Linked DNA regions of Ovis aries. The protein of the gene in region 2 interacts with the protein of the main gene of each other region in a pairwise test. Links are inferred from orthologs where the notes say so. Each region holds a gene or a part of one and is shown on either strand. Other genes may lie near its edges.

What was found.
Region 1: the proteins of UBE2E2 (region 2) and ZNRF1 interact in a two-hybrid assay, tested with the Homo sapiens proteins (2 studies listed by BioGRID and IntAct). The link is inferred for Ovis aries from reciprocal best matches to the Homo sapiens genes UBE2E2 and ZNRF1.

The regions. Positions count from the first base shown.
Region 1 is NC_056067.1:1,851,129-1,855,326, reverse strand, and holds the start of ZNRF1 (E3 ubiquitin-protein ligase ZNRF1), read right to left. Parts: upstream 2,804-4,198; 5' UTR 2,274-2,803; coding exon 1,850-2,273; intron 1-1,849. UniProt on the Homo sapiens protein: E3 ubiquitin-protein ligase that plays a role in different processes including cell differentiation, receptor recycling or regulation of inflammation. Mediates the ubiquitination of AKT1 and GLUL, thereby playing a role in neuron cells differentiation.
Region 2 is NC_056079.1:42,012,424-42,015,933, reverse strand, and holds part of UBE2E2 (ubiquitin-conjugating enzyme E2 E2), read left to right. Parts: intron 1-2,467; 5' UTR 2,468-2,475; coding exon 2,476-2,651; intron 2,652-3,510.

The DNA of each region.
Region 1 (4,198 bases), on a different chromosome or scaffold from region 2:
CGAAATATTAACAGCAGCCCCCCCCAACACACACTTCAATGTCAATCCCTCAAGGGATTAATATGCTTCAACTTTCCCTGTAGTCCCTGGTTCAGCAGGTCTTCCTAACCTCTAGCTGGAAAAAGGAAAAAAAAAAAAATTAACGTTTTACAGCTGAAGAGTCTGAATTTTAGAATCCAAATGCAAGCTCATAACTCTGGCATGGAACCTGGTGGCGGAATAAGGAAAAAGAACTTTCTGGTAAAAGAAAAGAAATTTGAGTGGAAAAAGGGAACTCCTACTCTAAGATTACATTCCTGCAACACACAAAATTCTACCTGTGACTTTTGAGAACTGTCTTATAGTGCTTTTCTGTTTAAACTCAGACACTAATGACAGCTTTCTTAAAAACTTAACTACAATCACCTCAAAAATACACCTGACCCTTTCTGGACCAAATTTTATAAGGAAGATTACTAAGTTTAAGATGTCTAAAGCTGATCAAATGATGTCTGAAAGTGCCAGAGGTAATCACACCCTACATCTCTTCAGGGCAGTGTCCAAATTATATCTAGAAGTCTGTTCAGGGATTAAAATTCCATCCTAGCAATTAAAAGCCACTTTCAAGGATTACCCTAAATTAGTCACTATTCCTCCCGAAAACTCATTTCACAATCGGTTTAAAGAACTGAAAAAAAAATTAACATTATTTCCAGAAATAGAGATCCAAAGTGTCTCCCCTATTTCACAAGAGCAAGCAGTGATCCAACAGATAAATCCTCCATAGAGCAATCTTTCTTCTACACAGTATCTAAATTTTCTGAAGTCGCCCAAAGGAGTCTGAATATGTTAACTTCTTTACTCCAACTCGCCAATTAGTAAATAGCAGCCCCACACCCCTTCTGACCAATTTTCTGGAGGCCTAACCTGGTTTCTCAGGTTAGCTAAGCAGACAGACCTGTTTTCCTCCAGAAGCTCCTGCCAGTGTCTTTTCTGCCCTGCCAGAGTCTAGGAAATCCTCCTCCAGCTTTTTGCTGACCTGTCACCAGAAGTTCACAAAATGAATTCATCCAGGTCCTTTGACTCCTCCTTTCCCCCCGACATGTGCCAACAGCAGTGCAAGAGAACTGCCATGTCTTGGTCACAAGAAGATGCAGAATACCCAAGCACTTCAGCATGGAGGAGAAGAAGAAAGATGGAGGGATCCAAGAGACACTGAGCCAAGGCTGCTACTGCATGCAGCACGGGTAACCAGGGCCCCAGTCACGCAAAGCCTCCCAGGGAGGCTCCCTGGCTGCGCCCTCCGACCAGCAGGCCACACCTGTCTATGGCAGCAGCCTGTCGGCCGCTCCATTTTAAACAATTCAGATTTCCAGCACAGCCGCAAAACTGGGCACCCACTTCTCCAGCAAGAGCAAGTGCCCTCATCCAAACCCCACTTGGCCCCAATCTTCTCTTCACATCCTTTGTCTGAGATGCTCGGTCCAATTGGATCCCTTCTGTGTTACCGGTGCACCCAGCACAATGCAGCAGTAACAGAAAGGAAGCACGGAGGCCGACTTGCGACCAGCCAGACTTCTCTGAGGACGGGGAGGCCAATGAATGAGACTTCAACAGGCATCCACAAGTGAACCAACGCCTGAAGTCCTCACACACCTGGCTCTCCTCGGCCTCTCAGAAAGCCTCATTTCTAGAGAGTGGGTATTCCATTCATCCCTTGGCTTCGGGAACCAAGAGGACGACAGCCAGATCCAGGTACCGCACTTTTACCTCCAGACCTTTTGCGTGCACGCGTGCGAAGGTGCGGGGCACCTCGGCGCGCCCTCCCTGGCACCCCACCCTCCGAGGCCTCTGGCGCCCGCGGACTCACCACTGTGCGAGCTGAACCACCGGGGTGCGATGTGCAGAGGTAGAGCATCCGCTAGCGAGGCTCGGGAGCCCAGGTACAGCATCCCGTCTCTATGGTGACCGCCACCCGTCTCCTGGTAACCATTGCCGTGGGCATAGGTGGAGTCGGACGTCGACCCTCCGCTGCCGGGCGCCCTCTCGGCGTCGCCGGTCCCTCGGGAGGCGGGGGTGTAGAGGCCAAAGGGCACCCCGCTGGCCGTGCTGGGGTCCATGCCCATGCCCGCCACGGAGCTGACCGAGCGGCTGCGGAGCCCCATGGCCCCGCCGCCCGCCCGGTAGTGCCCGAAGTGGGGCGCCCCTCCCGGCGGGGGCACGGCGCTGTCGTCGGTGGAGACCCCCGGGAAGGGGCCGCGCGAGCGGGCCGCTGTGCTCTGCTTGCCGCCCATGCTCGCCCGGGCCCCGGCGGGGCGGGAGCCTGCAGGCCGAGACCCTCCCCCTGTCCTCAGCGGCGGGGGCAGGGCTGGGCGGGCATACGGGGGAGCAAAAAGGAGACCGGAGGGGAAGGGAAAAAGGAAAAAGAGAGGACCCGAGCAGGACCCAGACTACGGGCTGCAGGCGTCCCGAGCCCGGCGCATGATTCCCCTCAAGGTCCGGAGAGGCGAGGCGCGCGGGCTCGGCGCGCCCCAGGCCGCCCCCGGGCTCCCGAGGGCCGGGCGCCGCGGGGAGGAGGCCGCCCGCCCGGCAGCGGCCGCCGGAGGAGGAGGGCGGGGGCGCCGGCGCGTGCCGCCTCAAGACGCCGCGGCCGGGACGGCGGCCCGGACCCCCGAGGCCCGGGCGGGCTGCGGCGCCGGCGGCCCGCGGAGCTCGCGAAGCCGCGCTCGCGTCGCGCTCTCGGCCCTGCCGCGCGGGCCCCGCCGGCCGCGCCGCTCGCTCCCGGGCTGCGCTCGCCGGCGCTCCTCGCCGCCGCGGAGACAATGGAGGGCGGCAGCGCGCAGGCGCGGCGGCGCCCCCGCCCCCGCCCCCCGCGTTAACCCCTTCGCGGCCCGCGCGGCGCCGGGCGGGGACTCGGGGCGTGGACGCCTCGCCCGCCCCGCCCGGCCCGGCCCTGCCCTGTCCGATGGCCCCGGGGCAGGCGTGGTCCGAGCCGCTGGAGCTCAGGACCAGAGGCGACGCGGCACCTTTAAGCCCCCAAGAGCAGCTGGTCATTCAGGGGGAATCCCCCCGTGGGCGGAGGGGCGGCGGTGGTCCAAAGGGTGGGAAAGAAACCCGGGGAAGAAGAAAAAGGACTCCAGACGCCTACCTAGCCCCGAGGGTCACTGGTCAAGCTCCCTTCCCGGCACGAATTTGCCCCCGCAGCACCCTCTGGTGGACTTGCTGTCCGTTCTATCTGAGGTTCAATGTCCTGGAATCCCCAACACCAGGAAGTTTAGCGTTTTGGGGCTCGATAGTTTTTCCGGGATTAAACAGGGCTGGGGGGTGTGTAGGGGGGGTGTTGCTTGTGATTTCAGATTTTGCTGCCAATAGATCAGAACTTCCTATTTTGGACTTAAGCAAATGGGTAGATCCTTAAGATAAAATGCGACTCTGAAAATCATCAGGTGTACGATTAAAAAAAAATAACAGACGTGGAAATCTAATAATGCAGCTAGAACTAGTGATTTTAGAAACTCCCTGGTTCAAGGAAGGACTCCTGTTTTGTTTACCGTTTATCCAGGTATGCATCGCAGGGCCTGGGACACAGCAGGTACCCAATATTTGCTCACCGAGTCTGCGTTTTGCAATGTCTCCCTCACATATTCACATTCACTCACTCATTCCATTCTTTCGTTCATTCATTTGTTCAACAGCTATTTTTTTAAGTGCTGAGTGCTGCCTAGGACTGTCTGTCACTCAGTCCCTGGTCTAACTGACTTCCTTGTTCTAAATGTCAGATACTTCCAAATCAAGGAGCCAAAACAGGGTGCAAAGAAATATTAAAACTGAAAAAAGAAAGGTTGATCTGTCATAGGTATTGATTGTCTCAGTGTGACCAGCTTGGAAGGAATAGGCGGCCTTTGCAAGCAGCAAAAAGCCCTGCAGAAGGAAGTTGAGATTTCTGTATGAGAAATGATGAAGGAAAAAACAATGTTTTAATACCCAAAACATTATCTGTAAGTTTCCAAATGGGGAATTTGTATACAGCTAAGATCCAAATGAGTGATTTGAAGAAAAACAAGAAAGGTTAAATTTAACCCAGTTTCCTCCCTGAAGAAAGAAGACAGGTAGTTCAGTACTGTGCAGAAAAGAGGATACCCTCCCCAGATCTCTACTGAGGAGATAAATATATAATCCATAAGAATTATAACCATCTAACTAGCTTTTGATTTACCTA
Region 2 (3,510 bases):
AGCTTCAGTAAAAAAGAATTTTACTTCATTTAGGTTTTTGTGTATTTGTCATCTAATGGATTGCTTCTTGTTTAAGACATATAAAAGGATTTCTCAATCGTTTCGCATATCTCAAAATATTGCCAGCAGCGTTTTGCTGCATGTGAGGGCCTTTCCCTAAGAACTACTCTTTCTTACTCCCGTGCACAGCTGTTGTCACAGGCTCTTATGTATGTACTTACAAGGGTTTAAACTCATATTATTATTTTTTTACTCAAAGAAGTAAGCTGAAAAAAAAAATCAGCGTTAAATCCAAGGATGAGAATTCTAAGTAAAATAAAAATGAAAATAAGAAAGAAAGCAAGAAATATGATAGGCCTGTTCGAGCTGGATGTGGAACATACTGATATAAAACCTCAGGATTCTATTAAGTGACCCCAGTGCTCCAGCTGAGGAGACTGTTGTGCTCTATTTAAAGAGAGGGAAAGCCGACGGGTTTCCCCTGCTTCAGAGCTGTCTGGGCAGACCTGTTTTGTCTGGCGTGAAGAAAGGGAGCTGGTGAGGGTGATGGGGCTGTATCTTGTGATGTCTTATTGAAGGTATTCAGGATTTTCTGCTGGCTCTTCGCCCCCTCTGCTTCCCGCTTCCTCAGTTCTCTTTCAGGTTTGTCTTAACCTTTCTCATTTCAACCACTTCAAGTTCTGTGTTACGAAATCACTTTGATTTAGAGCAAGCTACAAGTGAAATAGAGCGAGCTATAAGTTAAATCTTGAGTGAGAAAGAATTTTAGTTATTGTCAGCTCACTCTACATTTGGACCAGCTGTAGTAATCAAACTGCTTTATTCGAGGCATCTTTCTTTTACATAGTAAGTCTTATTTTAAGTCTTAATTTGACTAAGAGCTACACAGTATCTTTTTCAGAAGGCATTTGTCCCCATTTACCTGGGATTCCTAAAGGTGTACTTTGTGTTGTTGGTGGCGCTCCTTAAAGGTAGTTCTGTGTTTTGCAGAGAGGCGCCCCAGAAGGTAGGCGTGCCAGCTCTGGTGGTGCTGAGGGGACAGCAACATGGTGACAGTCTGGGCATGGGTTTCGTCCGTTTGGTTTTGGATTTGTCAGTAAACTCTAAGCTAGTTGGGTCACAGGGGACGTCCTCATGGTAATAAGACTCAGAAATCAATGATGATAGAATGGTCGTTGCCAAGAGAGAACTGGAATTTTTTGTGCGTTATCTAGATTGTGACAGCTTACCCATGAACCAAGGTCCTGAGAAGATTGAGTTGGTGATCAGAGTTGCATGTGGAGCAAAGGGACTTTGAAAGCCTCGAGGTATATTTCATCCCGGCCGCGGCGGGAAAGATGGGCTCCTTCAGAGTCTCCATACAGTCTTCATCGCCTGTGAAGCCTGGTTGCTTGGTGTACTGTGGGATCAGGGCTGGCACCGACCTACGGTTCAGTTTCTGTTTATTTTTTTATTTTTATTTTTTATTATTATTATTTTATTTTATTTTATCAGTTTCTGTTTAGAATCATGGAGGCCTCTGCTATCACAAAGATTACTTCAGACAGTTGACTGACTTAGAGGATTTAACCTTAGCCCAGCCGGAGGATGTATTCATGCAGTATTGGTGCCAGTGTTTGCCCTATTCTCTGCTCCTGTGGCCATTTTTACTGACTTACAGCACCTAGCAAGTCGTCTTGACCTCTGAATCAACTTGCATATCCTAGGACCCAGGAGCCCGGCACAGTGCCTGGTGGGGAGCACAGTTTTATTTTTTTCAATAACGCTTTATTGACATGTAATTCATGTACTGTAAAATCCACTCTCTTAAAATGTATAGCTCGGTTTTTAGAATATCTAGAGTTGTGCATCACCATTATCTAATCCAAGAACGTTTCCATTGCCCCTCAAGGAAACTTTGCACCTCCTAGCTTTGTGCCGTTCCCCTTCTTCCCTCCCTCCCGGCCCCTGGCGATCGCTTACCTGACGTTTCCGTCTCCATGCACTTGCCCGTTCTGGACGGTTCGGACAAATGGAGTTGTACAGTTTGCGGCCCTTTGTGCCTGGTGTCTTTCACTGAACGTCATGTTTTCAAAGTTCATCCACGACGTAGCTTGCACATACGGTACTCCATTCCTGTATGTGGCTGGATGGCATTCCATTGCTCGGATATCCCACATTTGGTTTATCTGTTCGTTGTCAGCTGATGGGTAAATGAGTTGCTTCCTCTTTTTGGTTCTGTGAATAATGTTGCTGTGAACATATTGTGTATATATATTTGTTTTCATTTCTTTTCTCAATACATTTTGAATGGATGAAGGAAAAGTTTTGGCAGCTCCCAAAGCTGTTACGTAAAGTGACCAAGTCATTCATTTTATAGTGAGTTTTCTTTGGTTCCTGTAAGATTCACTTTCTCTCTGTTCTCGAGCGACCTTTCTGCAGTCCTCCCCCAACTGAATAAATTATTTGTTTTGACTCTTTAATCCAGGATCTAAAATGTCCACTGAGGCACAAAGAGTTGACGACAGTCCAGGCACTAGTGGGGGAAGCTCCGATGGAGACCAGCGTGAAAGCGTCCAACAGGAACCAGAGAGAGAACAAGTTCAGCCCAAGAAAAAGGAAGGGAAGATATCCAGCAAAACAGCTGCTAAGTTGTCCACTAGTGCTAAAAGGTACCTCGGTTATGGTAACTTCCTTGCTTTTAGTATCAATTTATGACCTGAAGTTCTATCTTTCTCTTGCATTTAATCATTTTTCTGGGATATGGACCATGAAGTTCATGGACTTTTTCTTCTTCAAGATTATTTCTTTTTCATGATTTTAATTGTATGCAGTATGAACTTTTTGGTATTTAAAGTCAATTAAACAGCATGGCAAAATTATAAACTACGTATCCGTAGTGTGTGTGTATGTATTGTTAGGTGAATATGAATAGGAAAGTGCATGTAAAGTGTGATAATTTGTTTTATGGTTCCTTAGACCATTACTATTTTAGTTTATTGAGCAGCAGAGAATAAAAGTGGGAGTCTATTGAAATAGTTACTGAATGATTATCTTCACTCACTGTTAGTAAAGTGAGAAATGCAGGAATTAATAACAATAGAATGGGAAAGACCAGAGATCTCTTCAAGAAAATTGGTATCACTTCAAGATACCAAGGGAACATTTCTTGCAAAGATGGGCACAATAAAGGACATAAACAGTATGGACTTAACAGAAGCAGAAGATATTAAGAAGAGGTGGCAAGAATACACAGAAGAGCTGTACAAAAAAGATCTTCAGGACTGAGATAACCACGATGGTGTGATCACTCACCTAGAGCCAGACATCCTGGAGTCCAAAGTCAAGTGGGCCTTAGGAAGCATCACTACGACAAAGCTAGCGGAGGTGATTAAATTCCAGCTGACCTGTTTCAAATCCTAAAAGATGATGCTATAAAAGTGCTGCACTGAATATGCCAGCAAATTTGGAAAACTCAGCAATGGCCATAGGACTGGAAAAGGTCAGTTTTTATTCCAATCCCAAAGGAAG